Macaca mulatta: one gene and its partners. Each later gene encodes a partner of the first gene's protein in a complex. Links are inferred from orthologs where the notes say so. Each region holds a gene or a part of one and is shown on either strand. Other genes may lie near its edges. The genes, in order: VIPR1, guanine nucleotide-binding protein G(s) subunit alpha isoforms XLas and VIP.

Region 1 (9,907 bases):
GGTCTGCTTTGAGGCCTGTCACTTGGGCTGGGCCTCACCTAAGCAAGCTCAGGATAGCTGTGACGACCCGAGGGGTGGCGAGGTCCACCTTTCTCCCAGTCTCCTCCCACTCACTATGTCTCAAAAAGCAGTCATGGCCCCCGCTTGTGCCTAGGATCCTCCACTCAGTTTCTGGAGCCAGGAATTGAGGAATGATCCTCTCCCCCCTCTCCCCCATCAGTCACCAGCCCTTTCCCAGCTGCTTCTTCCCCAGCACCACCACCACCTCATCTCCCCCGGATTAAGTAGGAGCCCCCTGCTTTCCTGTCAGCTCCACAGCCTGAGACAGCTGGAAGGATCATGCTAACACCCAGACCTGACTGTGGAACTCTCCTGATTCCCTGCCATGGAACTCTCCTGATTCCCTGCCATAGTGCCCCATCCCCGTCAGCAAGGATGAGCTTCCTAGGCTGGCAGCAATGTTTTCTTATTTATAGCATCATGATGCAGGTGGTGAGGGAAGGGAGGTATCCCATAGACCCCACAGACATGGTTAACATAGACTGTACATCGAATTTTCTCAGCCAGAATGGCTCTCCCATATTTATTTTTTAAAATATCTCTTCAAATATTTGAAGGTAGAGGCCAGGCATGGTGGTTCATGCTTATAATCCTAGCACTTTGGGAGGCTGAGGCGGGAGGATCATGAGGTCAGGAGATCGAGACCTTTGTGGTTAACACGGTGAAACCCCGTCTCTACTAAAAATAGAAAAAATTAGCCAGGCGTGGTGGCAGGTGCCTGTAGTCCCGGCTGCTGGGACGGCTGAGGCAGGAGAATGGCATGAACTCGCGAGGCGGAGGTTGCAGCCAAGATTGTGCCACTGCACTGCAGCCTGGGTGACAGAGCAAGGCCCTATCTCAAAACATCAATATAATAAAATAAAAATAAAGAAGTGAGCCACCGTGAACATTTTGGTGCCTTAATGAGCTATTCCTTGCCTGGCCAAACTCCCTCCTTCAGGTATTTTATCCAGCCTATGTAGATGACTTTTTTCTAACTCTCCACAATTTTTATCTTCTATAAGCTTTCTTTAGCTTTCCCTGTAGAACCAGGTCCCTTCCTGTGGGTATACTTCTTCCCAGGTCTGTATCTAAAAGGGTGTGAGTTGGTGTTGCCATCATCCCTACCCCACACTTGCAAACTTCCCTCTTTGGAATTTCAGGTCGGTTGCCCATACCTTAATCTACTTGCTCAGGAGAACACCGTCTTTTTTCTGTTTTCAGTCCCTAATCGCAGTTTCCTATTTCTCTCCACCATTTTCAGAGACCAGGCCCACAGAGTATGGCTGTGTAAGTTGTTCACTGTACAGGGCACCTGGCTGGTAGGCATATTCTGCTTGCCACTAGGTGGGCTCTAGTGAGAGGTCATCTCTGCCTGAGGAAGGACTGACTTTTTCTTGTCAGTTCAAAGGCACCGTATGGGCCCCATTGATGCCGGCAGCCTCAGGGTTAGCTAGATGGTGGGCTGGAGTCCAGGTTCTCAAGGGCAGGAGCTGCCTTGACACATTCCAGCAGGGACAGAAGGAAGAGCCACGGGGAGAAATGCAGTTAGCAGAGTCTCAGGGAGAAAGGCAATTAGCAGGTGCTTCCAGGGATCAGAGAGAAGGCTGGTTTCCAGGCTCAGTGATGGCGTGCACTGTGAAACCTGCCAGAGGAGCTCATTGTTATCTGCCCAGGCACTGGGTGTCCCAGGAGGAGGTGGCCAGGCCAGGTGGGCATTGGCCTGGAATATGGCATGGCTGTGACCTTCCCAGACTCCTCAGGAGGGCTTTAAGGTCTGTCTTTCACCACTGAGATCACAACAGCAGTCACTTGGGGGCAAACCGGCTTACCCCAAAGAGACCCTGGGGTCTACCACCCATCCCCACTTTACAAACAGGGAAACTGGGGTCCAGGGAGGAAAAGGCCACCTGGAGTGAGAGACACATGAGTTCTGTTCGCTCTCTGAATAATTGTCTAGGTTCTGCTCCTCATGAGTCCTCCCCACCCCAGGCCTGCCCCTCCCTCCATGCTCCCCACCCAGTCCTGCTCTTTCTTCCCCAAGGCTCATTAAACCTAAGCCTAGGGTGGGGCCTGCTTGATTCCTCCCTGCCTCAGTCACGCCCATTCCCTCCATAAACTCTCCCACTTCTCTCCCGCACTGAGCTCACTACCTGAATTCAATCCATCATCATTTCCTGCCTGCCTTGTGATTGGGTTTTCCTGTTTATACTCTTAGAATCCTTCCTTCTCACAGAAACCAGTTAGAAGTTAAAAACCTAAATTGGACTTTGTCAGTTCCCCGCTTAAAACCCCCCACTTCTCACTGGACTTAGGAAAAAACTCAAGTCTTCGCCTCTGTCCTCAAGGCCCTGTGTGGTCTGGCCTCGGCCCGCCTGTCCCTCCCCTCCCTCCTTCCCCGGCACTCTCCCTGCTCCAGCCACACTGGCCTTCATGGAGCTTCCTTGGATGCTTATTCCACGGGCTGTTGATTCTCTCTCTCAATTGTTCCCAATCTGGGATCTTTGCCTCGTGGCTCTTTCTCACCTCCAGGTCTTCAGATGGCAGCTGAAGTGTCACCTCCTCAGAGAGGGACTGTTTGTGAACCTCTGCCTTAAGTTGGTCCCCACTCTCCTTATTCTCTCGTCCAGCACTTTTTATTATTGATGATACATCTGTTTATTTCCTTACGAAATGTCTCTCCAATGAGAACACTAGCTCTGGAAGAGCAGCCCTGGGGGCTGCTTTATCCTCTCCCCACTGTGTTTGTCCAGCTCAGCGCCTGGCACACGGGTGGGTGCTTCATTCACTGCACAGAAGAATGACTGAATCTATATTGTAAACCTCTTTAATGACTCACTAGCAAGAAAGCCACATCCTAAAGGGGCTCCCCCTTTTCTTTTCTGCCTCATTCTGTGGACATTCTGTGGACATTCATTTAAGTGGAACATGACAAGGTGTATAAGCAAAGTCGTGTAGTGGCTTCATGGAGCCCAAGAGGTCATAGACTCCAGGCATCGAAAGACTGAATCATGACGAGCCCAAGACAACAGGACTATCTATGGGAACCATAATTTAATCAAGTACCTGTCAGTCAATCAGTCATCAATTGTTGAGCAAATATTTAATGAGCCTTTCCCATATGCTTATCTTTATGTGAAGAGCTAATCAAATCCCGTGAGTTCTTTAAAGACCTGGCACCATTGCCTCCTCTGCCAGGGAGTCCCTCGGATTGTTCCAGCCTCTTTGACCACTTTCCTTTGACTTTCCACTTCCTTGAGAGGTGAGTCCCACGGCAGCCAGCACCACTCACATCACCTTTTCAACCCAGGGGTCTTACCTTGAATGGGGGAGAAGAGCTTGAAGATGAGGGGACAGGCCAAGACAACAACCTGGCCCCGAGGGGTGGCTGGCCAGCAGGTGAGGTTGTCCCACATCTTGCTGCAGCCTATGGGGGTAAGGCAGAGGACACGTGGGTCAGCACAGTGCGGGTGCCTCCAGCCCTGGGGCCTGAGGTCATAGGCATCCACTCTCTTCCTCCCTCTGCTGGGCTCCCACCTCAAGGAGCCTCCAGTCTGAGAGGGAAGGCACAGGCTTGCCCAGGCTGCATGGAGCCTGTCCTGACAGGGAGGCAGGGAGGAGGCCTGACTACAGTTCTTTGGTCCTTAGTGAGGGATAGAGCGCCCCCTGGGGATGTTTCCAATGCCAGTGGTGGTTTTGATTGTTACAGCAATAGGGGGGCCTCACTGGCATTTGATGGGCAGCCACCAGGGATGCCAGATAGGCAACTCCTGCACAATGATGAATTGTCTCACATTCTGCATGGCTTCCAGATGAGCCACTGGCCATATGTATAGGTGAAAACCTTTCGTAATGAACAGAGCCTAGACTCTTATACCATTTTACATATAAACACAAGCCATTTACTTTATTATTTATTTACTTATTTTTTGAGACGGAGTCTCACTCTGTCACCCAGGATAGAGTGCAGTGGTGCAACCTTGGCAACCTCTGCCTCCTGGGTTCAAGCAATTCTCCTGCCTCAGCCTCCCGAGTAGCTGGGACTATAGGCCTGTGCCACCACGCCCGGCTAATTTTTGTGTTTTTAGTAGAGACGAGGTTTCACCATGTGTGGCCAGGCTGATCTCCAACTCCTGACCTCAAGTGATCCTCCCACCTTGGCCTCCCAAAGTACTGGGATTACAGGTGTGAGCCACTGTGCCCAGCCAACACAAGCTATTTATTGCACAAGTTTAACATACATGGAGTTTTCCAGGAATGCAGCCACTGAGAAAAGGGAGGGAAGATTGTATTTTGTTTTGTTCTGAACTTCACTAAGAGTTGTTCAATGTTTTGGAAAATCATGACACCCATAGCAGTACTGCCTGTGATACTTGAGTCACTGATGCAACTGCCCGTGTCCATCAGTCTGCATTTGTAGGCCTCGCATTCTCAGGATTTATATTTGTAGGTACAACCTTCAGACTACATCTAGTGTGATTATGCTTGAATATGTACATGATACTTTATTATAAATTACTTTCCTTTTAATATTTATCTTACAGTATAGCTAGAACTTTATTTTTAATAAAGTGGATGGGCGTGTGTCCTGAATTTCATATTATGATAATAAAGGAGGCATTAGAAAATGTTTTGAGACTCTGTCTCAAAAAAAAAAGAACTACATGCACCCCAGTATACTCATCACCCCATCATAGTCTCGCTCTGTTGCCCAGGCTGGAGTGCAGTGGCGCCATCTTGGCTCACTGCAACCTTCACCTCCTGGGTTAAAGTGATCCTCCTGCCTCAGCCTTCTGAGTAGCTGGGATTACAGGCGCCCTCCGCGACACCCGGCTAATTTTTATATTTTTAGTAGAGACGGGGTTCCGTCATGTTGGCCAGGCTGGTCTTGTACTCCTGACCCCAGGTGATTCACACTTGCCTCGCAGCCTCCCAAAGTGCTGGGATTATAGGCGTGAGCCACTGTGCCCAGCCCACACCTAGTTCTTGAACAACACAGATTCCCCCAGTGTGGTCGGATTGTGAATTGTGATGGAGGGGAATAGTTAGGGAACAAATTCAGCAAAAACCCTCCATTGTGGCTGCATTCTCTGCCACAGCTATCAGCCTTGCAGAGCCTGGCCAGTGAAAGATGCACAGTGGGGTCTCCAGGGGTCTGCTTTAATAGGCACATGCAAATGCCATCATTTAGTCTGTTCAGGAGCTGCATGCCCCTGACGGACTAGGACTGCTCTGGACCCGTCCCATGCAGGAGGCTTAATTGTCTCTTTGCAATCCTGCCAGTCCCATAGATTTGCTCAGAAAACCCAACCCCCTGAGCCAAAGTCAACGCCAGCTTGGCCAAGCCCAGCCCAGCCCAGCTCAGATCCGAAGGTTCACAAGTTCTTAAGAAGGGGGTCTGGGAAGAGGAGGTGGAGGGACATCCTTACTTGGGGAAGAGGCTCAGGACTCTGTGTGTTGGAGTGGGCTGGCAGCAGCAAGGGGCACCTTCTGGGGCTGCAGCAGTCAGGCCACACCTATAGCTAAAGCCTGAGGAGGACACCTGGATCCCCAGGGCTTGACCAGAGATTGCAGCCTCCCTTAGTCATGGACCCTGACCACTTTTCCCTGTCTTGAGGGCTCTTGTGGCCTCACGCTGGCTGCCAGTCCCTCTTCCATTCTGGGCCAGCCTCTCTGAAAGCCGAGTAGGGGCACTTCAGGTCAGTCAAACCCTGCTGGGGGTTCCAGACCCTGTTAAGAATATCAGCAAACACTCATATAACCTTTGCATGTGCCAGGCACTGTTCTAACCTCTTTGGATGAATGACTTATTTAACGCTTCCATTTCACAGATGAGGAAACAGAGGCACAGCGTGATTGGACAACCAGCTCAAGGTTATGTTGCTGGTAAGTGGTACAGTATATTCACATGTTCCCACTCCTCTCGGTCGGAAGGGCTGTCATTTCTCTGGGAATTTTGCCGCTGCTGGACTTTGTTTACCCCTCTCTGACAGTGCTGGGCACGCCCTGTTATGCAGACTGGCTATTGTGTCTGGGTGCCTGCCAGACTTTGGGCTCTCTAAACCTCCGGCGGCCAGCACAGGCTGGGGAGTGAATCCGGGGCTGGGTCTCTGGCCTTGAGTTCTGCTTCACTGTGGTGGGACAGAAGAGAGGAAACCAGGCCCTGCCCTTGGGAGGCCACACTTGGCCTCAAGGAATCTTAGCATGACCAAGGCTGGGCTGTGAACTAGTGCTGGGGTGAGGGCAGCCAGCAGGGCAGGGAAGCAGGACGAGAGGCTAATATGAGGGACATGGTTGGGGAAGCAGGGGACGGGGTGACAGCCATGAATATACTTGGTACCTGGAATGGCCTGTTGTCCTGGGCTAGGCAATGGGAATATTTCCTGTGTGCCTGCCCTAATGAGGCCCCGCAGGTCCCATCACACATGTCACCAGGCCTATAGAAATACAGGGCCCAGGCTGGCTGTGTGTGCCCACAGGTGGGGCTGTGCCCCCACCAGGAAAGCCCAACCCAGAGCTTGGGGTAAGGGTTGGTGAGGCAAGGTGAGGTGGGGTCTCTGCTGTGTCATTCTGTAGACTTGTGTGCACACAGAGATACACACACTGATGTGTACATGCCAGTACACAGAACACCAGGCACACATGCAAACATGCACACATGTACACTTACCTGAACACAGGCAACAGACACAAGCAAATGGGCACAGAGAGACACACAACTCACAGAGACATACATTCAGAGAGACAGACATGTCTGGGTGTACCACTGACACTCACACTGATAGACATACAAGCCACACAGAGACACAGCACACTGGGCAGACACACCTAGGCATGTCCACAGATGGCATGTGCCCATGCTTAAATAGACACACACTTCTGACTCACAAAGATACTCAGTCAGACACAGAGCTATAGACCCCAGAGGCAAGACGCAGCTCCAGACAGACATGGGCCAGGAGTACATACCTAGATGTGCATGAACACGCACAGAGCCCTACACAAGGCCACAGGCAGACTCATGGCCACAACCTATGCCCGCCCTTCTCTGCATCCCAGCCTGGCTGCTGGTGACAGGGTGTTGGCACCCAACGGGAACGCTGTGCCAGCAGTGACCTCATCGGAATCACGAGGGTGGCCTACCCCTCGGCATGGGAGGTGCGCAGTGGAGTCTAGAGTCCGGGCCTCTCGGGGCTGCCTATGATCCCACCGTTGGGGCCTGCCAAAGCCTATCTGCACCTGGTCCTGGCTCCCTGCACTGGTGGAGTGGGGTGGGGCCTGTAGGTAGTGGGCAGGCCCAGCCACCCCTGGACCCATGCCTCAGTCTCTGGGCCCTAGAGTCAAGGGGTTGTCCTGCTTTGAGATCAGGGTAGGCAAAGCCCATCTGTGAGGCTACACTTACTCACTGACAGAGCAGGAGGCAGACAGCCTGGACACCAGGGCCAAGAAGAGGGACCTGGAAGGGGTTACATAACTGTCAGCTTTAGAAGGTGGAAGGGGAACTAGGGAGCCAGGAAGATGTAAAGATGCTCCCTGCTCCTGAGCAAGGCTGTTACATAAGTGTAAGCTCAGCCTCAGGGAGATAGCCTGGGATGGAGGCCCAGAATGAGCCCAGCCATCTCACTGCCTCCAGCCCAGACGTGCCAGGCTGCTGTCCCTGGCAGTAAGACTTGAACCTGCCATCCATGCCCCATTCCCCATAGGAAGTCTGCCTCAGTGCCTCCCACCTTTCCAGACTCTCCGTTTCTCCAAACCTGCTCACCCCTCCAAGTCTGGTTCAAGTGGTACCAAATAATTCCACCCATTCTTACCTGGAGCTGCTGAGCCAAAAAGAGGGTGCTGTCATCTGTCCTGATAGCCCTGCTGTCCAGTCTAGGTAGCTGGGCACCACCCTTCACACTGCCAGGTGGAGCTCTCCCAGCCCCCTGAGGAAGAGTGGCTGGGCCTCTGGGGCTGACCTTGACTGGTCTCATCAACCAAATAATGAGCTGATGGTTCATCTGGTCACTAAGGGTGGGTTGGGATGGAGAAGCCAGTGTGTGCACCTGTATGTGTATGCTTAGGGGCTGGGCACGTGTGTATGTGTGTGTATGTGTGTGGCGTCACTATCGGTCCTCTGGGTGTGGCAGAGGCAGAGCCTGGGGTTGAGAGGGAGGAGTGAGCCTAAGTTTCCAGGCTGAGTGTTGGCTGTGGTGAGTATTCCACATCTGTCCAGACAAAACTTATGCCCTTTCTTGCTCTGGACCCCTAAGATGGCTTTGAGCTTCCATGCGGTCCCTGTGGGGGTCACATATTGTGACTGAATGTCCCTCTTCTTCCTTTGAGATGCTAACAGTACAATGTTATAATCCTGGAGTATGGTATTATGGGGCTAGTTCTCCCCATGTCAGCTCCTGGGTGTCCTGGAACCTGCCTACCCTCATTGGTCACAGGTCCCCCACCACGCAGCATGCTGGGCCTTGTGTCCCGGGTGGGCTGGCTGCCATGGAGATCTTCACTTTTCCTGGAGAAGAGGGATAGGGACCCCCAGAGGCAGAGTTGGCTCCATGTACTTTTCAGAACCCCGATTTAGTATGTCCTCCTCAGCTGCAGCTGGGAGCTCCCCAGACCTGGGGTGGGAATGTGGAAGCCTGTTAGCCCCTTTCTTCTTCCATCTGGCTCCCCAGCCGCTCCTCACCATCATCCAACAAATGTGGAACGAACGTGACTTGGATCTCAGCTCGAGACATGAGGAATCGTGGACTCCCTGGGGGCATGCAGCCCCCCCTCTGCCCATGGGAGCCTCACCTGTTGTCTCATTCTCCAGCTGGGCCTCCTCCAGGCACTGCTTGTGCTGCACCTCGATCATCTGCACATAGTCACACTCCTCCTGCAGCCTGGCTGCCTGGCCGCCCTGGGGACAAAGACAGGGAGGGCCCATCAGCCTTGTTCATAGACTCGGGAGCACCAGGCCCAGTCTCTGGATGCACCTGCCCTCTCCCTGGAAGAGATCCAAGTTCCATATGGAACCCCAATACCAACCCCAGACTGAAACCTGAACCTGACTCCAACCTGTTGTCCATTGCCCCCAAACCTGAGTCGGCCCTGAGGACCCTGCCACAGCTTCTTGATGGCTCCCCCAATAGTGCTGCAGCTATAACTGCTTTGTCTCTTTGTGGGTGGCACAACTCCAGATGGTGGCAAGAGGGCCTCCCCTTAGAGGCCTGAGCTGGCCCTCTGGACTCTGCCACTCTCCAGCTTGGCTTGAGTCTGTCCCTGTCTCGGTCTCCCTGATGAGTGGGGCCAGCTCGTGCTATTACTCTGTTATGTGGAATTGGATCCTGGCCTCTGGTTTCCACTGCCAGCCCCAGGAAGAATCCAGGAGTCTAGCTGTATTTTCCAGCTGCTGTCATTCCAGGATTCTGTGCTCAGTCCCCTGGGTCACCAGGCTAGGAAGGGGACTCTAGCCTTCCTTGCCCAGACCTCACCTGTCTCCTTTTTAGTTTCTAAATAATTCAAGCTATACCAGATCTACTGAGGGTAGGGAGGTTTAAGGAAGTAAGAGAGCACCTCTAGGATCCCACCAGGCCTCCCCTGCCTCTGGAAAGTGAAGAGAAGGGATGGAAAAGCCCAAGCTTCTCCCCTGCCCCTCCCTGTACCCTGGCCAGGGATCAGGGGTGGGTCAGACCATGGTGACTGGGGACACTGACCTTGTGGAAGACATGTGAGTGGGGGTGATGGCTGTCTGGGAACAGCCAGAAAAATGTAGGTCTTGGGAGCTCTTAGATGGGCTAGGGTGGGTGAAGGCCTCCATGGAGGAAGCGTTGGGCTGGCAGCAGCTTCTGCGTCTTTGGCTTTAGAAAAGTGGCTGCTGGCCCCGGCAACCCCA
Region 2 (10,537 bases), on another chromosome or scaffold:
CTCTCTCTTATTTCTTAAGAGTCCCTGTAATGAGATTAAATAGTCCAGGCAATACAAACAGAAAGGATAAGCACATAAACAAACATTTTTCAAGCAACAGATGAATCTGCATGTCACAAATTAGCAGCCATATCAAAAGACAGCCATTTGATCTACATTTTCAGTGGTAGGGATGTATGGATGGATGTCTTGTTTTATATGTTGGGACTAGAAAGTTAGTAAAAAGTCTTGTCCTACCTGTGAGTAAGTCCTCATCCTTCCTCCTCTCCCTGTCCCTAATCAATAATTCAGGTCCAGAGGAGGTACGTCACCTCTGCAAAAGGAAGCCTGGTCAAAAACTGTAGCCTGCTTTGACAAACTGCAGTGGTACAGTTTCAGCTAGCAGCTAACACTGGCTATTGTATTTCAGGCTTATGCTAGACATGGCTCATGGTTTACCAGCCCATCTTCTGGACTATGTGCATCCAAAGGTGTTTGGCCACCAGCACCCAAGAACAAAGCCAGGACAAGGTGCAAGGTGACCCTACCAAATATTCCTTTTGTTAAAGTTAATTTTTACTCCTGGTGACAAAATAAGGGGAGACAAAGGAAACTTCTAATGTTCTTAAGACTGGTCCCAAACATGGACAGTTTGCTGCAGGATTGATGGCTGCACAATCTATGGTATAAGTCTCCAGTCCTGATGTAAGTGGACTGTGTCTCCTCCACCCCCACCCCCAGGAAGAATAGAAGACTCAAATCATGGCAAAGCATTCCTTAGTGGAGATCTGCTAGGAAAGCTTCATTTCACAAAGGAGGCAACTGAAGCCCTGCATGTAAGGCACATTACCAATTTGACAATTAGGGGTCAGGTGCACACTGTCACTTGGGTCTCCTGTCTGTACCTATTTGTGTCCTCCCACCCCAAATTTATAGGTTTGCTTCCCAGGATATATACAGAAAGGGGATGACCTCCAATTCTTTTTGCTTACAACCAGTTTTCCATGGTAAATAATGTGGGTAAATTTTAAACACTAATCTGAGCTGTGCTTGGAATATTGAAATGGGTCTGTTATGGCAAAATCAGATGTCTGCAGGGAAACCAGCGCATTGTCATTTAATGTGTGGTAGCTTTAGTGTAGCTGAGACATTTGAAATTTAAAACAACTACCATATTATATGTTTTTGGGTAAATGATAATGTTATGATCTACCTGGATGGGCATACACAAAATGATCCTCACATCTAAAATTGTGATTTGTGAGAGCCACATCACAGTAGCATAGTTACATGCCAATAATGCCATTAATAAAAAACCGTCACAAGTTCTAACATATTTAACAAATGTAGCACAGTCTTAAAAACTGTGATCTTGAAATCCCTTGAAAGGTCTTAGAGAATAAAATGTAAAAATTAAGCTTGTGAAGTTCGTTTGAAAGTTTTCATTTAAACCACATATTCAGACCATTGCTAATTGCTGATTTGATTAAATGTGGCAAAAATAGTTAATGCCCCAGATTTGAAGTTAAGAAGTCTTGGGGGGCTGGGGGAGTGGGGAACTGGAAATGGCCACGGAAAGACTGGGAAATACAGGAGAGGGTCTTGCTGTGGGTTGCGGAGGGGGATCCTGGAGAGGGGAGGGCACCAAGAGGTGGGGAAATGTGAGCAGAGGAGGGGGAAGGTAGAAGGCCACCAGAATACCCTCCTGATGAGAATATCATGATTTTTAACTTCTGTAATCAAAAGACCTTTATATATTTTTTGTATCCAGAGCCAATTTGCAGAAGACCTTACCTTTGACAAGCCTCTTTGCCCCCAGCTAAAGCTGCTTGGAAAAATTCACATGCAAACATTTACGTGTTTCACAAGTCATATTCACGGTTTTGCCATACTTTGTCCACACACTTCAAATACACTCAGCGCATTTTTGGAAAATTTTTATTTTAGTTGCATTTCAAACACAAAGGTGACATTCCACTCCCAACACATATCCCCATCTTTTTAAACCAAGCCCCTCCTACTGTACTCTTTGTAAAAATAATTGGCTTACCTCAGGCTCTTCGCTAGGAAAAAAAATTATTTCATATTTTTTAAACACAGCCACGCCCACCCCCTTGGAACCAGCCCCCACGTGGTTTGGGATTCAGACTTGCCTACAGCAGGTTGTTTCCCCTCTCCCCCATCCCCCGACCAGGCGAGCTGAGTGTGTGCAGAATACTGAACACTGATGTGTGCAGCCCCGGGCGCCCCAGATACCTGTATGTCTGGTTTTTCAACTGTAAAGGCGGGAGGGTTTGGCGAACGAATGAGAAGTGAGGAAACGCTTAGCGCAAAAGGAAAAAGAGAGAAAGACATACAGGAACAAGGTTACGGAGGCCGGCAAAAAGCGATCCCCCGCTCCCCCAGGCCAGGGGCCCCGCTTATTTCCCGGGAGGCCCCGCCACCTTCCCCGCGCGTACTCCGCACGGCTCACCGCAGAGCGCCCGGGCGCAGGTACCACCAGAGTGTGCGAACACTGAAAGTTTTTTGCCCGCGCCATGACGCAAACCACAAGACAGCCCGTTCCCAAGTACAAGTACACAGTCGCCGGGTAATTTGGGGGTGCCGGGATAGGAACGGGAGACACTTTAGCGTATCATGCACAGGCGAACACAGAATATGGACACCAACACACACCAACGACAAGCTGTCTGAGTCCAAGCAGCCGTGCCAGGCGAGGCGGGGGCGCGCCTTTCCCAAAGACCCTAGCCCACCATGGACCCCACCAGCCTAGCCAGGGGAGCCCCGGGGCCCTCCCCGGCAGTTCCTGGCTCACCTGAAAGCCCCTGCCTGTCCAGCTTACGGTTGCTGGCGCTGGCCTGTCCAGCCGGAAACGACCCTCAGTGTCGCTCGGCATCACTTTTCTCCCTGGAGGGCATATACTTCGGCCACCCGAATCCACCCAAGATCCCCTCCCGCTCCCAGGGCATAGTTAGGGTCCCTCCCTGGAACTTTCTAGCAAGCTCTTCCCGCCTTTGGCTGGATCCCCTCCTCCCACTGTCGAGCCCCGAGCCCCAGCAGGCAGCCCTGCCACCCCCTACCCAGTTCCCCGGCGGCCCTGCTGCCCGCAGGCAGAGTCCGCCGCATTACCTAGAAGCAGCAGGCGGTGCGTACACATGTAGCCCATCTTTTCGTCCTGGAGTTGTTTGTCGATGAGCTTGCTGCGTTTCTTCTCTGCGCGCTTCTGGGCCCGCTTCTCCAGGGCTTCTTTGCGCATCTGTCTGCGCTTCTCCACCAGGGGTACCTTCTTGACCTTGGAGGAGTGCGAGGCTTTGGGCTGGGGACTCTCAGATCGACCGAAGCAGCCCCCGAAGGCTTGCATGAGGAAGTTGCGGAGTAAGTTGCGCTGGGGCTTTCGGCGGCGGCGATTTCGCCGATGCTGAAACCAGCGGATGCATCCGAAGGTCCCATCGTCGGACTCGTCTCCGCTGGAGTCATCGTCGCTGCTGGCCGCCCCTTCATCGTAGTACACGCGGCGGCCGCAGCTGCGCTCGGACTTGCCCCGCCAGGCAGACGCGCGAGCAGGCCGCGGAGTAGGCGGATCGGCAGCCTGGATCTCGGGGCTGGGGGGTCTAAGGTGATGGAGCTTGCGTCTGGCCCCGGAGGCAGGGGCTGCCGAGGCCGCCCGGGCGGCTTGGGCTGCCCGGGTGGCAGAAGCGGCTGGGGCAGTGGGAGCCCCGGCGTCAGGCGCAGCTGGGGCGACATGGGCTGCCCGGGTCTCAGCAGCCGCAGGGGCCGCGGGAACCTCAGGGGCTGCCCCGGCATCTGGATCGGCTGGGGCGTCAGGGGCTGCCCCGGCATCTGGAACCGCTGGGGCGTCAGGGGCCGCCCCGGAGTCGGGATCGGCCGGGGCGTCAGGGGCCGCCCCGGAGTCGGGATCGGCCGGGGCGTCAGGGGCCGCCCCGGAGTCGGGATCGGCCGGGGCGTCAGGGGCCGCCCCGGAGTCGGGATCGGCCGGGGCGGCAGGGGCTGCCCCGGAGTCGGGATCTTCTGGGGCTGCCCCGGAGTCGGGATCCGCTGGGGCTGCACGGGCTGCCCCGGTGGCGGTATCCGTTGAAGCTGCCCCGGCGGCAGGGGATCCGTACCCCGGAGAGGGGACTTTTCCTCCCTCCGCGGCATCAGCGGCTGTGCTTCCTTCCATCTCTGCTGCTTCCTCCTCAACTGGGGGTCTCTCTGCTCGCTCTCTCTTATCTGGGGCTCCGGAGACCTCGATGGGCGGGCCGTCAAGCGCGATTGGGGGGCTGTCCATGTTGACGGGAGCGTCGTCGACCCCAGCGGGGGCGCTGCCAATCTCGAGCGGGGGTCCGGAGATCTCCATCGGGGGGCCGCTGCCCGTGAAGTTAGGAGGAGGTCTGACAGCCTCTCGGGATGGGCTGCCGATGGCGCCTGGGACCCAGAGGGGAGGCGCGTTCGCGGCGGGAGTGAGGCGGACCGCACTCGAGGCCGCGACTGCCGCGAACTGGCCACCGCGGTCAACTTGTGCGATAACTCGGGAAAGCCCCGGGGGTGGGCTGTCGTCCCCAGATCCTTCTCCATCAAGCTCAAATGGCATAGTCTCCTCAGGGGGAGGGCTGTAGCCTCCTCTGGAGCCAGTCTTTGGAGGCCTGAGGGCTTGGGGCTCCTCGGGAGGAGCTCCGGGGACCCCTGCAGCACCTGGGCCTCCTGGAGCAAGGTCTGGGACCTGTAAGAGAGGTTGACTGCAGCCTGTCTTGGCAGGCTGGTCAAACTCAAAGGGCATAGCTTCTTCTGGTGGAGGGCTGTATCCTCCCAGGCCTGGTCTGGCACCACTGAAGGCTCCAGGTTCCATGAATGCTGGGCCGAAGGCCTCAAGGCCTGCATGGGCCCCACTGGGGGATCCAGGCTGCTCCAGTGTAGGCCAGAAGCCTCCCAAGCTGGGCTGTTCGACCTCGAAGGGCATTGCTTCCTCAGGAGGTGGGCTGTAGCTTCCATGGGCTCCAGCTTCCCTGAATGCCTGGTTGAGGACCTGAAAGTTGGGCCTGGAGACCTCTGGGGGTCCACAGGCCTCGCTGTCATTCTTGATGGGGATGGGCTCGTTGTGAGGCGGTTCGGTCTCCATCTCTTCGGCTGGGCTAGGCCCAGCACCGGGGGCAGCTGCCCCTGGGGCCTCCAAAGATGGTTGATCGGGCTGTTCCCCGATTTCAGGGGGGATATCGCGTTGTCCTGACATATTATTGCCGTCGAGGCAGTTGCGCACGCCCATAACAGGGTGGCGGCCTCTCAAAATAAGTTTGGGGCTCCGTAAGACGGAGCACCCAACCGAACTAGGGTGAAAAAATTATTATTATTATTTTTAAATCAAAGTACCAGCTGGAAAGTTCACCAGCCTCACTTTCCAACCCTTGTGAGGTTGGGGGGCTTCAAGGCCTGGAACCCTAGACTGAGGCTGAAGCAACTCAATTGTTGCTGGTGGAGTCTTGGCTCCTTTCTGGCCACTTTTTATCCCCTCAGTATGCCCCCCAGCCCCTCTTCCTTGGTCTGTCCTTATGCCCTCCTCTCTCTTTCTTTCTCCTCCAGGCCAGTCCCGCCTGCTTGGATCTGACGAGCGTGCCGATTCGGTCCGAAAATCGCCAGTAGCGCTCTCTCGCTGCCACCAGAGGACGCCGGTTCCAGTGCCGAGCTGGCTCCAGCTCCAGAATCCTGCTCCTCGCGCCGCGGCCCGGGACTTTGGGTAAGGGGGCTGACGAGCGCAGGCCTCGCAGGGACGTTTTGGCTCCTTCCACTCCTCTCCCTGACTGATTTGGAATCTTTCTCCTCGCTTCTCCCCTGGCCAGAGAAAGCTCTCCTGCGTTGCGGGACACGTGACGCAAGACGTGGGCCTCGGGACGCTGGAGTACAGGAGCTGAAACCCTCCCTCCCCAACCCAACCGACTCCTCGGGGGAGGGGGGACTGAAGAAGGGTTTCATCACCCCAGGATACCCCTGAAACACTGAGTCATAGCCCCCAGCCTCCAGGCAGCTCCGGATCTCAAGCCCCTAGTCCAGAGCGCAAGGCTTTTGGTGCCTGAGAAGGGGCACAGGCATGCGTGGGGATGCGACAGGTGGTCGTGAGCCCACCAGAGAAGCAGAGAGAGACGAGGGAGAGGGGATGCCGAGTATGCGAGCACACAATTTGTTTTTTAAATGCCTTGGGTGTACTTTTTACTGCTTTTGTTTGTTGCTTGCTGAGGTTGGCTCCGGTAAAGCACTTTAACAGCCCCCACCCTCATCACACTCTAGGGGTCTCCGCAGTGGCCCACGCAGCGCAAGCAGGGTGCTCCCTTGTTTATGTGGATGGTGACGCAGGGGAATAAGAAGGTCTCGGGTGCGTACCACCAAGAGCAAAGCCCCCTAGGCAGTAGCTGCGGTGGCACCGATGGAGGGGTGGGGGGTGTGCTGCGCAGAGGGGGACCCCACAAAGCGGCCGCAGAGTTTCGCAGGTCCTGCGGTTCTAGGGAAGGGTTAAAGGGGATTTTGGTTGGCGTTTATGGCCGGTTTAGGGTGATTTCGAGAGTGGACAACGCTGTGGGCACTGAACCCACAGATAAACACCATGCCGCGCGGCAACCGCAGCTGAGGTGCGCTGCTCGCTGCTTCGGGTGCCGGCCGCAGCACCGGTCAGTCTGCTCCTTTAGCCCCACTACAGCCTGTCTCCAGCACCCTTCCAGCCCCTCTCCTCTCGCTATGGGTATCTTAGGGTAGTCGCTTTAGTTTTCCACTGCTAGAGCCTACTGAGGCGGCACTGAGCCCGCCAACCGGCCACAAACCCGGCGGTTGCCCGCGCAGCTGCGCTCCCGCTACCATGCTGCGGTGGGCTCAGAGCTAGCCAAAGGTAAATACCCAAACCACCTGGTGACCTTGGTGTGTGCACATGCTATGCTCTGGTCTGGGGTCTGCAGAGGGATTTGAGCCCGGGAGAAAAGCTGCTGTTAGGGGGTCACGTAAAACCCGGCAGGTGCGCATCAGGTCGGTCTCACCAGTAAGACAGATTGGTGAACCACGTCTAGGCACAGAGCAGCTGGGCAGGAGGCAGGGGGTCACCTGACCTGCAGAGTCCTGCGGGAGGAGAGGCTGGATGAGCGTTACACAGGGCGGGCTGCAGCAAGCAGGGCGCACAGCACGGGCTGCTGTATGGGAGCTGCAGGCGGGCGAACCACTGCACGGTGCGATACCGTCTAGTCTAACGCATCCCTCTTAGAGCCAGGGTACCACAGGCACCGCGCATCCTCCCCCCCCCCACCCTGCTTCCACCATCCACGTGGCCACGCAGCATGGAAAGAGGCGAACACAGTAGGACCCCGGTAAACGTTTGGGATCCCCCAAAGATATGTCGCTTTAGCTCTATGGGTCTACACACTTCCAGCTGTCAACACTGAACTTTGATTCCAACTTTGGCCAACTAACTCCACACAAAACGGCTTAGCCACTTGGGCATCCACTGAACCGCCGCCCAACTGGGTCCCAGCACCAACTCACTCCCCTACGACCCCAGTGCCGGGTCAGCCATTGGGCTGGGGTCATGCCAATCACGGCTGCCTGGCGAATGAGCAGGGGGCGTCAGACCGGAAACCGGATATGGGTGGGAGGTCCAATAGGGGGCGCCGCGTTGGAACGCCCGAAGAGGTTGTGCTGCTGGGGTGGTTGGAAGTCGTTGGGGGGAGGGTGTATGGCGGCTAGGCCTGGAAGACCACGAGGACCGCTAGCGCCGTGGGGTCACCCTTCCTCATGCCACAGGTTGCCGAGCCTCGGGGGAGAGGTGGGGTCCCAGGGGCCAACCTTTGGGTGCGTTGATGGCGGCAGGCTAACCTAGCCAACGGGGTGCCGCTGCCGGGAGAGGCACGGAGCAAGAAGATTTCCAGGGCTGGGAGGTAGAGGGCCAGGACTACAAGGAGAGGGCTTACTGCGAGCAGCAGCCCAGGATGGCTAAGGAGTTGAGGCCCCAGGGATGCTGAGCCTGCACAAGTGGAAGGTCAGTAGACATTGGGGTTGAAGCCCCAGGGAGAATGCGATGGGTGCTCCGAAGGGGTGGTTTGCTCTCGTCAGGCCTCGCGCTCACCCCCAAAGCACCATTTGTCGAGGAACGGGTTCAGGGTCTCTGTTCGACACCCTCATGGGTCTGTGGGACCCCTTTGTTCATTCTTTCTGGTCTTATGATTCTTTGCCAGGGGAGCACATGCATCGAGGTGATTAAAAAAAAAAGGTTAGGCAAATACCAATTCCTCATCCTAGGGAGTAGAGCAGCATAAAAATGAAAGAAAAGACTTCCACTTGGGGGGACCTTGAAAGTCTTGGTGGAGAAAATGGCTTTTTATATGGGCCTCCAAGGAAGGATAGACGCCTTGGCTATGAATAGAAGGTAGTAGTGGGGGATGGGAGACAGTTTGCCCACCACGAACAAAGGAAATAATGGTAAGAAACATGGGGCGTGGCTGGGTAAACACAACTGGCCACCTTGGCTGGCTCTTCAGGAGCAGGGGGAGAAAAGTCAGGAGAAATTAGATAGAATCTCTCTGAGGATGGCATGGAGTATGAGAGCAAGCACTTTAAGGCTATTTTGGCAGGAAACAGAAAGGATATTGAAAGTTTTTTGTTCTGCAAGTGAGGATTTGAGCCTACTTTTAGGAAAGGCAGAAGCAGCATGGAGGATGATCCTGATGGAGAGAGAACAAAGGAAAGGGGTTATGCACAAAGGAGATGTTTAAAGGAGAGACCTAGCACGGTGAAGGAAGCAGGAATGCTGAAGGATAACACTCAAGAGGGGTCCCAAAGGATCCTCCTGGAGCACCTCTTATTGCTAGAAAGACACAAAAAATGGAGGAGCCAAAGTGTGTCACCCAGATGGATGAAACACTGGGAGTTGGACAGGGAAGTCAGTGGGAGGGACTGGCAAGGTGGCAGTGCTGATTTGGTTTTAGACATGGCAGAGTTAAAGGAACTTTGAGCAGTTGGGATAGAGATTTTTGCAGGGAAATCTGAAATTTAGGGAGGGAAGGTCTGAAATTTAGAAAAAGATAAAGATCACACATTCAAATTGGCAATCGTCCTTACAAAGATGAATTCATGGAGTCAGAAAATTCTTTAGGGGAGAAATACATTTGGTAACAGAATCTTGAACAATTGGTGCAGTGGACAGGAAAAAGGGATACAGTCCAGGAGTGAGCAGGGAGGACTCAGAAGGGAGAGATGGGAGCACACCAGAGGAAGGGGTTTCAGAACCACTCAGCACATTTTATCTAGACTTGGTGTTTTAGCCTCTGCACTAGTGGTATTCGGGGCCAGGCAATTCTTTGTTGTGGTGACTGCCCTGTTCATTGTAGGATGTTGAGCAGCATCCCTAGCCTCTACCCACTAGATGCCAGTAGCATCCCCTTAGTTTTAACAACCAAAAATGTCTCCAGACTTTGCCAAATGTCCTCTGGGGGGCAAAATCTCCCCCAGTTGAAAATCACCACTATAAGCTGAGAAAGGACCCTTAGATTTGAATAGGAATTGCCTTAATCTAAAGGTAAATTAAGACTAGGAAGGATAAATCCCAGTATTTAACCCTGATATTCCCCCATTTTCCCACTCTTGTTGTTTCTCTGTAGTGACTGGCTACCAGTCTCTGAAAAACCTAAGTCCTTTAGGTGAGTGGAGCTAGGAGTTGAAACATCAGTAGTGGGGTCAGGGACCCCAGAAATGTGGCCAAATATTCGAGGAGTTGACCCACCTGTGGCACCTGAAAGGCCACAGGGACCTGAGGAATCTGGTATAGTAAGAGCTGGGGGTGATCAGCTAGTGGGTTTACTGGGTCCACCTTGATTGGCCTGATTGGTTGGCTTGTCTGGTGATCTTCCTGAGGGCTGATAATTTTGCTAACTCAAGAGAGAAACAAGACCTTGATCTGGATGGAGATGGCCAGTGCTGGATGTTAGTGGGCAGCGTCATCTGGGGCCTAACCTTGCCAGGGACGTTTTTAGGATCTGCCATTATAATTGTGTAATAGCAAAGTACCTTAAACATAGCTTTCCAATGCTGGATGGATTGCCATCGTGGGAAAAGATGAATATGTGATAGGACTGAGGAAGGAAAGTCTATTAATGTGTTCATGCAGCTAAGGAAGAGGAAGTCAGGAGAGGCTGGTGCCTGAAAAAAAGGCCGAGTTGGGATAGATAGAAGCTGTGTGCCAGGGTCCTGACCCCTGTCCTGAGGGGCTGTGTGCTGGAGTGCAGGGCTGCAGTGAGATGATGTGTCAAGTAAGGGACGACAGTATTGGCTGTCAAAACCCAGGGATGGGTTACTTGAAAATTGTGTATACTTGGCTACTTAAAAATAATAGCCTCTGCACTTGATGTACTAAGAAAGGGATGGGAAAAATTTCTCATGCTTCCATTAAACTCTGCATTTCTGAGGAAAGCCAAATGGCCCAGGTGCCACAGGTGGCAAATAGTGGCTTTTGGAAAATATGGAACCCCAATGGAAAGAATGTATGTATTTCTTTACCGTTGACTCTCTGAACAGCACCATTACAGCCCCATTCCTT
Region 3 (10,627 bases), on another chromosome or scaffold:
TGTATAATATATTGTATAGGATATATTTATTTATGTATATATACATATATACAGCACATAATACATTATACATTAGGTATATAAAATATATATACACTAATGTGTATTTCCTAATACAAGTTATTGAAAGATACTGGATTTAAGAATATTAAAGCAAACATGTCATCTTAAATATCTACCAAAGAGGAGGATCTAGAGGATTGAAAAACGTTTTTTGTGAAAGACCAAATAGTACTTATTTTAACCTTTGAGAGCTGTGCAGTTTGTTGCAACTATCCAACCTTGCCGTTGTAGCACAAAAGCAACTATAGAGAATACATATATGATGAAATGTTTTATGTTCCAATAAAACTTTATTTGTGGACACTGATGTTTAAATTATATATAAGTTTTGGCCAGGTAAGGTGGCTCACACCTGTAATCCCAGCACTTTGGGAGTCTGAGGCGGGCAGATCACTTGAGCTCAGGAGTTCCAGACCAAAACTTGGCCAACATGGTGCGCACCAGTGATCCCAGCTACTCTGGGGGCTGAGGCACAAGAATCGCTTGAATCCAGGAGGCAGAGGTTGCAGTGCACCAAGATTGCACTGCTGTACTCTAGCCTGGATGGCAGAGTACATGAGACTCCATCTCAAAATAAAATAAAATAATAAAATATAATTGTCATGTGTCACAAAAAGTTCATTTAATTTTTTTAACCATTTAAAAATATAAACACCCTTCTTAGCTTGAAAGACATAAACAAACAAAAACAAATTAATGAAGAAACAAACAAACAAAACCCAGAGGGGTCAGTCTATTTAGCTCACAGCCTGTAGTTTCCAGACCTCTGATCTAGACTCACCCACTCAGGATTACCATGGTAGACACTGGCTAGGTCTCAGGACTGGAGGTGAAACAGGGGAAATTAGGCAGATAAAACCATCATACAAAGAGGCAGAAGAGCATAAGCTTAGGCATTTAATCCATAAGAAGAATATGGACCCTCTATTAGCATATTGCACTAAAGAAAAAAAGGCAAATTTGGATTTCTGCTAATATCTTGAGCTTAAAAATCCCTTCCATCTAATTCCCTTGCATCCACTACCTTTGAATTTAGAATGCCAGTTTTATTTCCCTGCTCTTGGTTCTGTTGGTGAAAAAGAGGAGAGGAGAGGCCAATATTTTTATGAGCTGTCAATGTCCATATCTGACCTGCTAGCATCAAAATGGTGATAGTAACAATTACAGAATATTACCAATTCTAAACTGAAGGAGTGCTGACTCAAAATCAGACAGTCTATCTTCCAGTCTCGTATTTATTATTAACCACCTGAGTGGCAAAAATTACTGAAACTTTCTGGAGATCAGTTTACTTATCTGTAAAAGAAGGATCTTGAAGATTTTTCTACCCATACAAATGAATTATAGTTCCCCTTATTACAAACACCACTTTACTAAGAAGGCGTAAGGCAAAAATAAACGTTGCCAGAAATGTAGGCAAATTATGGAAGAATATGTCAAAGTACGGAAAAGACAGATTTAAAGAGCAAATTCACATTTGTATTTTTGTATTTATTTACTAAGTTTTATGGTAACCGAGAATTCAGGATAAATTCAACTGCAGTACTTTTTTTTATGTTTATTTTTTCTGTAAGCATCCATAAGTTAAGCCGGTTAAAGGACCTCTGGTTTACAATTCATTTCCTTGAAAGAAAAGAAAAAAATAAACACAATTTTATAAAATCTGTGAATTAAAACTTTGAACCTGCAGATGGTGCTATGGTTCCATTTTCAAATTGTTTTGCTTTCTAGTTTAAATTTGTAAGAGAAAATGCAGTTCTTTAAGTTTACTTTTATTCAGAGGTAATAAAATTGAATTATTTCTTTTTATTTTAGTTTATTATTATTATAATAGAAGCAACTGTCTTTTCTATTGAAAAAAGCCACTATAGTTACTCTTTGTAAATGCTAAGTGCTTGCCTAAGCCAAATAATAATCAGCTTTACATCTTTTATGTTTAAAATTTTTCTTCTTATCATTCAGCAGTAATTTGTCTGTGACCCTCAATTAAGTTGCTTTGCCGTTGCTGCTCTTAAATAAAATTGATTCACTAAGAATTGGGTGATGAAGAGCTAAGGATAAAAAAATTCCATATGAGAGCCATTTCAACCTCTAGTTTGTAATAATCAGGTAAAAAAAGATTTCCTGGAATTAAGCCACAGGAACTCTGGCTTAAGTCAGAGCTGTCAACTGGGAAACAAATTTCCAGACATTTTGAAATTTAATTCATTTAATTTTTCTGGTAACTGGATTAGAAAATATGATTAAGCATAGCAGGATAGTCTTTTACTGGATCAGTCTGACTTTGAATGAAGCAAATAGATACTAAAATCTTAAAGTAGAAGAAAGAGGACTGTAAAGTCATTCTTTCTTATGAAACTTACAAACAAAATGTAAAAATAATACACATGGCAGAAATTCTTTAACACAAAAGGAAAAATGACATTTTACTCTGTTGTTTAGGAAATTTTTCATGTGGCTGCATTTTTTACCTTAAACTCTGATTGAATGCGTACTAAGCTACCTTTAGTTACAAATCCACAAATAGCAGTGAAGTATTTATCAAAGGACTACATAAATGTTTTTCAACTAATTATTTGAAGCCACCTGTCAAGTGATTGAATCAGAGATGTTCCAAACTGGTTTGAGTATGTGTGTGTGCATTGGGGGTGAGGGTAGAAAACTAATTCTACATTATGCAAAGACTTATATAAGTGATGAGGAAAACCTTTAAAAAGAAAAGATAATTAAATTCCTTGAGGTATATAGTCTGACAACAATTTATTTTTTGGATCATTTGACACAGTGTATGTAAAAGTGCATTGGGAATTGTGCCTTTTTATACAAATACGAAATAGCACTACTTCTACTGCTTTCTATACAAATATGAAATAGCACTACTTCTACTGCTTTGTACAACAGCGTGTATATCTTACTATCTTAGAGACTTTCTGAAACATTTATCTTGGGATTAGTTTCAACAAAAAGGAAATGTAATAATAGAAAGGTGAAAGTTATCTCTAGAGCTTTTAAAGTTAGGATAGATTTCAAGAAAGATTAAATCTGGATCTATATGAATAGCATACAAATTAAAAATATTAACAGAATTGATATTAGGTAATAAAGTATAATTACACATTTATAAGCATAATGAACATAAGTGTTTGTTGCTTTCTGCATTTGTTTCTACACATGAAGTCTTTATTTTCTGAAGGAATCCCAGTGGCCATGGCTATAACACTACAATCATTTTCTTATTTCACTACAATTAAGTAAAGGTTAAAACATTTCACATTGAGCTTGCTACTTTGTTTGTTTAAACAAAAGTAAATTTCCTCTTATCTTACATCTTGAAGTTACTCACTATAAACTTATATAAATTAGACATAATGACAATTAAGTAAGAACTTCAAGCACTATTCATCCCATGGCCGTCATACTGTGACGTCTTTCAGAGCGCTTTGTGATTGCTCAGTCCCAAGTATAAGCCCTATAAAATGATGGGCTTTGAAATGCTGGTCAGGGTAGAGTGAGAAGCACCAGCAGGCAGTAACAGCCAACCCTTAGCCATTGCTAAGGGCAGAGAACTGGTGGAGCCTTCCTCTTACTCCCAGGACTTCAGCACCTAAGACAGCTCCAAAACAAACCAGAACAGGCAGCTCCTGGGGAGCACGAGTGGGCAAGGTAAGTGAAAACTTTACCTTTCCTCTTCTTTTTCCCTCCTGCCTCTGAAACTTTTCTTACAACATACTGAATTTTTCTCTCTATTGAAAAGAATTTGATAGTGCTCTGCTTTTGCAATAGCAAAAAGACAAGTTTCTCAAGTCACCTGGTAAGGATAGAAATACTTCAATTTCTCTCATATAGATAGATTTTCTGAATTCTTTTGTTTGTAAGATGCTTTACTCTGCTTGCTCTTTTACTGAATACTGATTTTCAAAAATAATTCATTCAAATCAAGTTTACTTGTATGTAGATTTTTGACTGAAAATTTCAGTGGGCACATTTGCTTTTGAAATTTTCAACTTATTTTTACACTGCTTTTTTTTTTCCTATTTCATATGTTGGTTAGGTGAATCTAAGATGCATTTAATTTTTGCCTTAAGTTTAAATTTTGTAATTTTTATAGGCAGCAAGAGAAACAGACCTTGAACTCCTAAATTTTTAATCTAGAAACTAGAAATGAAATGTGTAAGTTGATTAAATGCAAGAAATGCAAGTTTTGCTTTTAACATATATTTTCCTTTGATGGAAAAATTCATTTCAGTGACAATATATGATTCAGTGATATTTTGAGTATTAATATTCACTACTGAGTTAAGATGTTCAAATTCAGGTGTAAGGAAATAAGTTTCCAGTAATATCTACAATTGAAAGAGGAAAAAGTAATGTAGATCCAAAATCTTTTAAAAAATTATATGTATATATACATATTATATTTATACATTTGTACAAACACGAGCAGAAGAATTATTAAATAGATGATACCCCAGTCTTATATTAATCAGATACTGAAATCTTAAAGCGAAGAAAATCAATGTCTTGAAGCTGTTTCCTTCGTCAAAAAATACACTAAGCCTGGGTGGTACAGCCCTGTTATGAAAAGATTGTCCCCAGGGTTATTTCCAGCACTATAGAAGTATGGCATTCAATAGATACTGGGGCCAACCATGTGCCCAGACAGCAGGTGAAAAGGATTCTACTTTTTATTCAAGTACCTGTCACTGAGAGAAATATTGATTTTTGAATGTATCATCTTGCAATTTATCTCTTTCTACAAGAGGAAAATTACTCTTTACAAACTCTTCAAGAGCCATTGAAAATTACTGCTAGGCACTCAGAATTACCTTGCTGGTGACATCTGTGGTTGGAAGAACTAAGGTGATTCTCTCTTTAGAGGCACAGAAATGGACACCAGAAATAAGGCCCAGCTCCTTGTGCTTCTGACCCTTCTCAGTGTGCTGTTCTCACAGACGTCGGCGTGGCCTCTTTACAGGGCACCTTCTGCTCTCGGGTAAGCTCCCTTTCAATTCAGACATCTGAGCATTCCTTCTTCATCTAAATGGGAATTTCCTATATGTTTTGTTGGACAACTGAATAGTATAAATTATGTATTATTAATTTACATTTTTGCTTGATGTGTTGAGTGAGAGGTCAACGTCAGGTCATTCTGAATCCTGGAATTCACTTTCAGGGCATGAGAGACACTGTCAGTGATTAGTTTTATGGGCTGAGTGGATCACATTCCCAAACATGGTGAAAGGAGGCTCTGACTTTCTTTTTATTCAACACCAATTTTAGATGAATAATAAGCTTTTATCCATTGTTAAGTCAGTTCAATTTCTGGTGGAGAAAAAGCAGTTTAGTTGCCAACCACATTTTAGTTTATTTTTCAAGATTAATCAGTAAATAATCATAAGATTAGCAGTTGATTAGTGAAACATGTATAAAATCATGTTGCACAGAAATCTATCTAGGCAGAGTCAATTTGCCAATATTAAATATGAGGTAATTGATCTATTGAGATACACTCCCCCAATGGGTAAATTTTGATATACTTTGAACCATAAATCCTTAGTTTTATTGTTCTATATGTTATATTATGTATTTCAAATCTAGAAAGTATAATATAACTCATATTTAAAACTTTCTTAATGTATGCTAAAGAAGTAAACAGTAAATGAAAACTACATTAGCTTGAATTTTTCTTTTCGGTTTACGGGCACCGCTATATCTCCAAAGGAAAAATAATAATTCAGTTGGTTTTTTTTTTTTTTTTTTTGCTTATTTGCTCATTCTTGATTTTTTGATTAAGGTAGACTTATGCTCAATAGAGAGAATAACCTCTTAGCTATTAGTGTTCTCTGTGAAATTTGTTTAAATACAGCTCCTGTGTTGCTTCGATAACTAAATAAAATGGTTTCATCTGAAGTTCTATCACAGCAGATGAACAATCATAAGAATGCTGACATTTCTGTTGATTGCTAAGCTTCAGACCCACAGAGGACTACTTGCTAGTGACTCCCAACTCCCAAATCACTGAAAGATACGCAGTGTCCAGGAGCTGACACACTCCTTGGAGGTTTGCCCTAACAGTGAAAATCTGTACACACAAAAGTATAAGAGTTGTCAGTAATTGAAATATGCAGGCATCTACAAATATAGTCGTATTCCATGTATGCATATGACTATTCTTAGTCCTTCAGTGTAACATTGTACATCCCTTATTAAAGTTGTGTTAATACATAAGATTAGAAACCGGAAGGTCCCATAAAATTTATTGAATTCAAATTCATCTTCATAGATGAGCTATTCATCTATGGAGACATTATTTGAATTTTGCCAATACAGAGAAATATATCATGCCAAGGTAAATGTTTGAAGCAAAGCTTGAGGGTCTAGAGAGAGAGAGAAGCAATTAATATTCCATTCTTCAGAGATGTTTGGAACAGGTGATACTGAACATCACCAAATACATAAATTGTTACCAGTTTTCATTCAGTATTAGTTTTTTCCAAGTTTCTATTTTGCATAAAATCTTTCTACATGTGAAATTTGACTTTGCAAAGTGAAGATATTCTTGGCATAGTAAAGTACACCAAAGAAGTATAGTTTGCTTAATGCTTCGATAAGATTGAATTAAGTAGCTCTTACGTTTTGTATATTCAGCTTATAAAAGTCATATGACATCTACTTTGTAGGACAATAGGAATTTCCTATTTATGCTCTCATTAACTATGTGAGCCATTAAGTCAAATTATGTTATTCTCATATTGTGACTGGGTAATACTTCCCAAGAGTTTAAGTATCTTATTTTAAATGGTTGCGGAACCGCTCGCACTGTCTTCTGAAAAAGGAATGTATTATACTTCTCGTGTAACCTTCCCTATCAGGTTGGGTGACAGACTACCCTTTGAGGGAGCAAATGAACCTGATCAAGTTTCATTAAAAGAAGACATGGACATCTTGCAAAATGCATTAGCTGAAAATGACACACCCTATTATGATGTATCCAGGTGAGTTTATTTTTTATAAAACTATCCAGTGAGTTTTATTTTAGCAAATGTATTTAAGAATTACAAACGTGCTAATTTTATCTCACCACGAAGCTATTCCAATAGCAAAACACTAGAGGTTTCCATGTGTCATGGCTTCATTCATCCTGATTTATTGCAGCTCTTACAGCTGTACATGATTTTCATACTGAAAGGTTGTAACAAGCCAGGATGAACACATCATTCACTTCCATTCTGTTGCACATAATTACAACATTACAGATTGTACCAATTCTGATAAAACTCCAGCATTTAGCATTCCAATGATGAAGAGTTGCTGAGGAGTTTTGTCTCTATATAAAGAAAAGGTATCTGATAGTTAGAGCTGATAGAACTGCTTGTCTGAGCATCATTTCAAGTACAGACCAAGTAGCTCTACAGGACTTGGTATAGACAAAGTATAAAAGGTTCTTCATTTGAAAGAGAAAAGGTAGAATGATAGGCTTTAATGCCTTCTCTATCTTAAGAGGTATTGTTTCCAAGTATTTTGGAAAAAGAAAAAAAAAAGCTATACTGGGGTTTATGAACTTTCCAAAATCAGAATATTTTCCCATTGTGTATGTCTTTATTCAGTGGGGCAGACACAAAGCACCATGTACAAATAGCAGCCTATTTAAATAGATCATATTTTTACACCAATATTTCTTAGAAAAAAGTAGTTATAAAGATTCAACCATGAAGGAATATTGAAATGTGCTTCTAGAAATGCCTGTTTCTTTAATTTTTCAGTGTCTTGGGCTAGAAATACAGGGTATATCTTGATATAAGTGACTAGATCTCTTTTGTTAGGGAGTTAAGAAATCTCCTTTTGAACTTTAGTTTTAATGAGAAGCTTTCATAATAAACCCATAATTTTTTGTTATTTAATGAGCCACAATAATATTCTAGAAAGCCATTTACAAAATAATAGCTATTTTTTTCTTCCTTGTTTTAGAAATGCCAGGCATGCTGATGGAGTTTTCACCAGTGACTTCAGTAAACTCTTGGGTCAACTTTCTGCCAAAAAGTACCTTGAGTCTCTTATGGGAAAACGTGTTAGGTAAAGAAACTTATTATTTTTATAAAATGTGTTCTTATTCAACCTGAATATTGTATTTTCACTCTTAACAAGCTATTTACCTTGTTTGAAATTGAAAACTCATTGATAATGTTTAATTTAGTTAAATGAAATAACTTGTATTGTTCAATAATATCTATCAAGCCCATGGATTAAGACTTTTTCATAATATCGTACTCATTGACTCCAGACACACGTTTTTCTCAAGTAGCAATCGTTTACCAATCTGCAATCAAATTGAACAAGACTCAGTAAAACAATCAAGAAGACATAGAATAGACTGAGGTAAATGTTAAGGTCAACCATAGAATATTCCTTTTACTTCCTGCTCAAACTAAATGGAGAATGCCAAATGGTTAACAGTCAAATATTTAGATGACGTTGCTCAGGGTAGCATAGCTTCTAAAGAAGTAACTATGTTTTTTTAAAAAGGTTTTCTCCCAGTGGCAGAGCACAACTTCAGCTATCCCCAAATTTTTATTTTTGGATGAATTTTTTGCTCAGCTGTACAGAATGTGTCATAAAACATTCCCAGGTCGTGCCAAAATATGACAGATGATTCCTTGCTTCGCCTTCATCCTTAGGTTCAGTTGTATTTTTCTTTCAGTCTTTTTATGATAGAAAATTAGTTGGCCGTGGGAATTCCTTTTTATGTGGCTCCAAAAAACTTGGAACATGTGTGTATTTATCATTTCTTGTGAAAACTCTTTGATTTCCTTTTCCTCATGTTCCTTAGCAGCAACATCTCAGAAGACCCTGTGCCAGTCAAACGTCACTCAGATGCAGTCTTCACAGACAACTATACCCGCCTTAGAAAACAAATGGCTGTAAAGAAATATTTGAACTCAATTCTGAATGGAAAGAGGAGGTAAAGAAAAAGAACTTGCTAAAATGAGAAATCATGACTGACTTTCAAAATAGAAGCTGCACATGAAGACCTCTCTATCTCACTATCTATACCACATGAAGCAGTGATTCTCAACCTTGGCTGACATTAGACTACCCTGCAGAACTTTAAAAATACCGATGTCTGGGCCTTTCCCCAAACCAATTGCCAGGAAATCAGTGTCCTCCGTGGTGTGGCCCTAGGCATTCATTTCTTTTAAGAGTTCCCCAGTTGACGTTACTGTGCTGCCAGTGTTAAAAATGATGACTATAGAGACATCTAGTCTGAATCTAGGAGCAAGTTTCATCAAAAGTGATGATTTTTAAAACATGTAAAGCATAGTCAATTGCAATTTGGTAACATGTGAAACTCACTTCATGTGCATATTCAATACTCTTATTTAATCAAATTAAACCATTAGGTATTTTGTATATTTAGATTCTGTAAAATCGGTATCTCTCTGTGGTGTGTAAACATCGGACACAATACATAAACAGTGTAGTGTTCTGTCTTTTTATTCCAATTGTTTTTGTTTAAATGATGAGTATTAAGGATAATTCTGTTTGGGTGTGATCAGACAAGATGACTTTCTTTGCCCATTACAGATGATAATTCTGTAAGAATAATTTTAGAAACTCTTAAGATGGATAAATAATTCATAGGTACTAACAAACTTCAAAGGTAATTGTTTAGCCCCCAATACACTTTCAGAGCACAGAGAACAGCACAGCCATTATGTCAAAATAGTTTCTTTAGAACCTTTCTCATCTGAGAGCCTTAATATGCACAATGTTTTTCTGCTCTGCAGCAGTGAGGGAGAATCCCCTGACTTTCCAGAAGTGCTAGAAAAATGATGAAAAAGCCCTTTGGAGCAAAGCTGATGACAACTTCCCAGTGGTGGGTATATTTGTGCATTCCTTCTGTATTCTTACGGCAGTCTCTGATTATATAAGTAGCTAAGAGTCGCTTAGTAAGAAACGTCTTAGGGTTAAAGAGTTTCTCATCATGAGACCTCATCCAAGACAGACACTCCTACAACAGTGGACCCCAACCCAGTAAACAGCTTAGAATGATTCATGCAATTTTTTGATCTCATAAAAGAGCACACTCACAATAAGCAAACGTTTTGAGATCTGAATAGTGTTCCTGGTTCACCTGGGGTTATTTCTACATTTGTATCAAGATAAAAAAAACAGAGGAGACTGACTCAGACTGACAAGAAAAAATGGGCTTTCCTTTTGAGGATCAACCCATGCTGCTTTTATTAATTGAAGGTTTAGTCCCACAATTGACTGTTAGCACCTCACTTAAGTAAGTACAGGGAAATACCACCAAATTAGAGCATGGCCCATTATCATGAAAATATCAGGGCATTCTGGGTCTAACTATATTCCTTGAAACATGGCAGACTTCTTACAGCAAAAGTAAAATTCAGCTTGTTTTACCTGTAAGTTTGTTTTACCTACATGACTCCAATAGCATTCTCTGTAAACATTTTTTTTTAGCAGAAAAAACATGGATAGACTTTTTTCTTTGTGAAGTAATAAGCTTGCTATCAAAATTGATTTTATATAAATGTGGGTTCAA

The links.
Region 2: the proteins of VIPR1 (region 1) and guanine nucleotide-binding protein G(s) subunit alpha isoforms XLas are in contact, whole or in part, in a cryo-EM structure (PDB 8E3Z), measured with the Homo sapiens proteins. The link is inferred for Macaca mulatta from reciprocal best matches to the Homo sapiens genes VIPR1 and GNAS. Residues at the interface, in NP_004615.2 of Homo sapiens: Arg174, His178, Tyr239, Leu240, Leu243, Leu244, Ala245, Val246, Ser247, Phe248, Arg252, Leu319, Lys322, Leu323, Pro326, Asp327, Ile328, Arg329, Lys330, Ser342, Leu345, Leu346, Leu391, Asn392, Gly393; in NP_000507.1 of Homo sapiens: Gln35, His41, Val217, Phe219, Asp323, Arg342, Asp343, Leu346, Tyr358, Pro361, Phe376, Cys379, Arg380, Asp381, Ile383, Gln384, Arg385, His387, Leu388, Gln390, Tyr391, Glu392, Leu393, Leu394.
Region 3: the proteins of VIPR1 (region 1) and VIP are in contact, whole or in part, in a cryo-EM structure (PDB 8E3Z), measured with the Homo sapiens proteins. The link is inferred for Macaca mulatta from reciprocal best matches to the Homo sapiens genes VIPR1 and VIP. Residues at the interface, in NP_004615.2 of Homo sapiens: Glu36, Cys37, Val40, Ile43, Asn69, Phe90, Leu92, Phe93, Tyr118, Ile120, Asp125, Asp126, Asp132, Gln135, Thr136, Tyr139, Val142, Lys143, Tyr146, Tyr150, Arg188, Lys195, Phe200, Ser202, Glu204, Ser205, Gln207, Cys208, Met219, Phe222; in NP_003372.1 of Homo sapiens: His125, Ser126, Asp127, Ala128, Val129, Phe130, Thr131, Asp132, Asn133, Tyr134, Thr135, Arg136, Leu137, Arg138, Lys139, Gln140, Met141, Ala142, Val143, Lys144, Lys145, Tyr146, Leu147, Asn148, Ile150, Leu151, Asn152.

What each region holds. Positions count from the first base shown.
Region 1 is NC_133407.1:105,859,095-105,869,001, reverse strand, and holds part of VIPR1 (vasoactive intestinal polypeptide receptor 1 precursor), read right to left. Parts: intron 8,933-9,907; coding exon 8,827-8,932; intron 3,467-8,826; coding exon 3,359-3,466; intron 1-3,358. UniProt on the Homo sapiens protein: G protein-coupled receptor activated by the neuropeptides vasoactive intestinal peptide (VIP) and pituitary adenylate cyclase-activating polypeptide (ADCYAP1/PACAP).
Region 2 is NC_133415.1:111,638,615-111,649,151, reverse strand, and holds the start of guanine nucleotide-binding protein G(s) subunit alpha isoforms XLas, read right to left. Parts: upstream 5,255-10,537; 5' UTR 5,240-5,254; coding exon 3,109-5,239; intron 1-3,108. UniProt on the Homo sapiens protein: Guanine nucleotide-binding proteins (G proteins) function as transducers in numerous signaling pathways controlled by G protein-coupled receptors (GPCRs).
Region 3 is NC_133409.1:71,481,937-71,492,563, forward strand, and holds the start of VIP (vasoactive intestinal peptide precursor), read left to right. Parts: upstream 1-3,561; 5' UTR 3,562-3,726; intron 3,727-4,939; 5' UTR 4,940-4,949; coding exon 4,950-5,056; intron 5,057-6,935; coding exon 6,936-7,058; intron 7,059-8,031; coding exon 8,032-8,136; intron 8,137-8,890; coding exon 8,891-9,022; intron 9,023-9,848; coding exon 9,849-9,894; 3' UTR 9,895-9,937; intron 9,938-10,627. UniProt on the Homo sapiens protein: PHM-27 and PHV-42 are two bioactive forms from proteolysis of the same precursor protein, that cause vasodilation. PHM-27 is a potent agonist of the calcitonin receptor CALCR, with similar efficacy as calcitonin.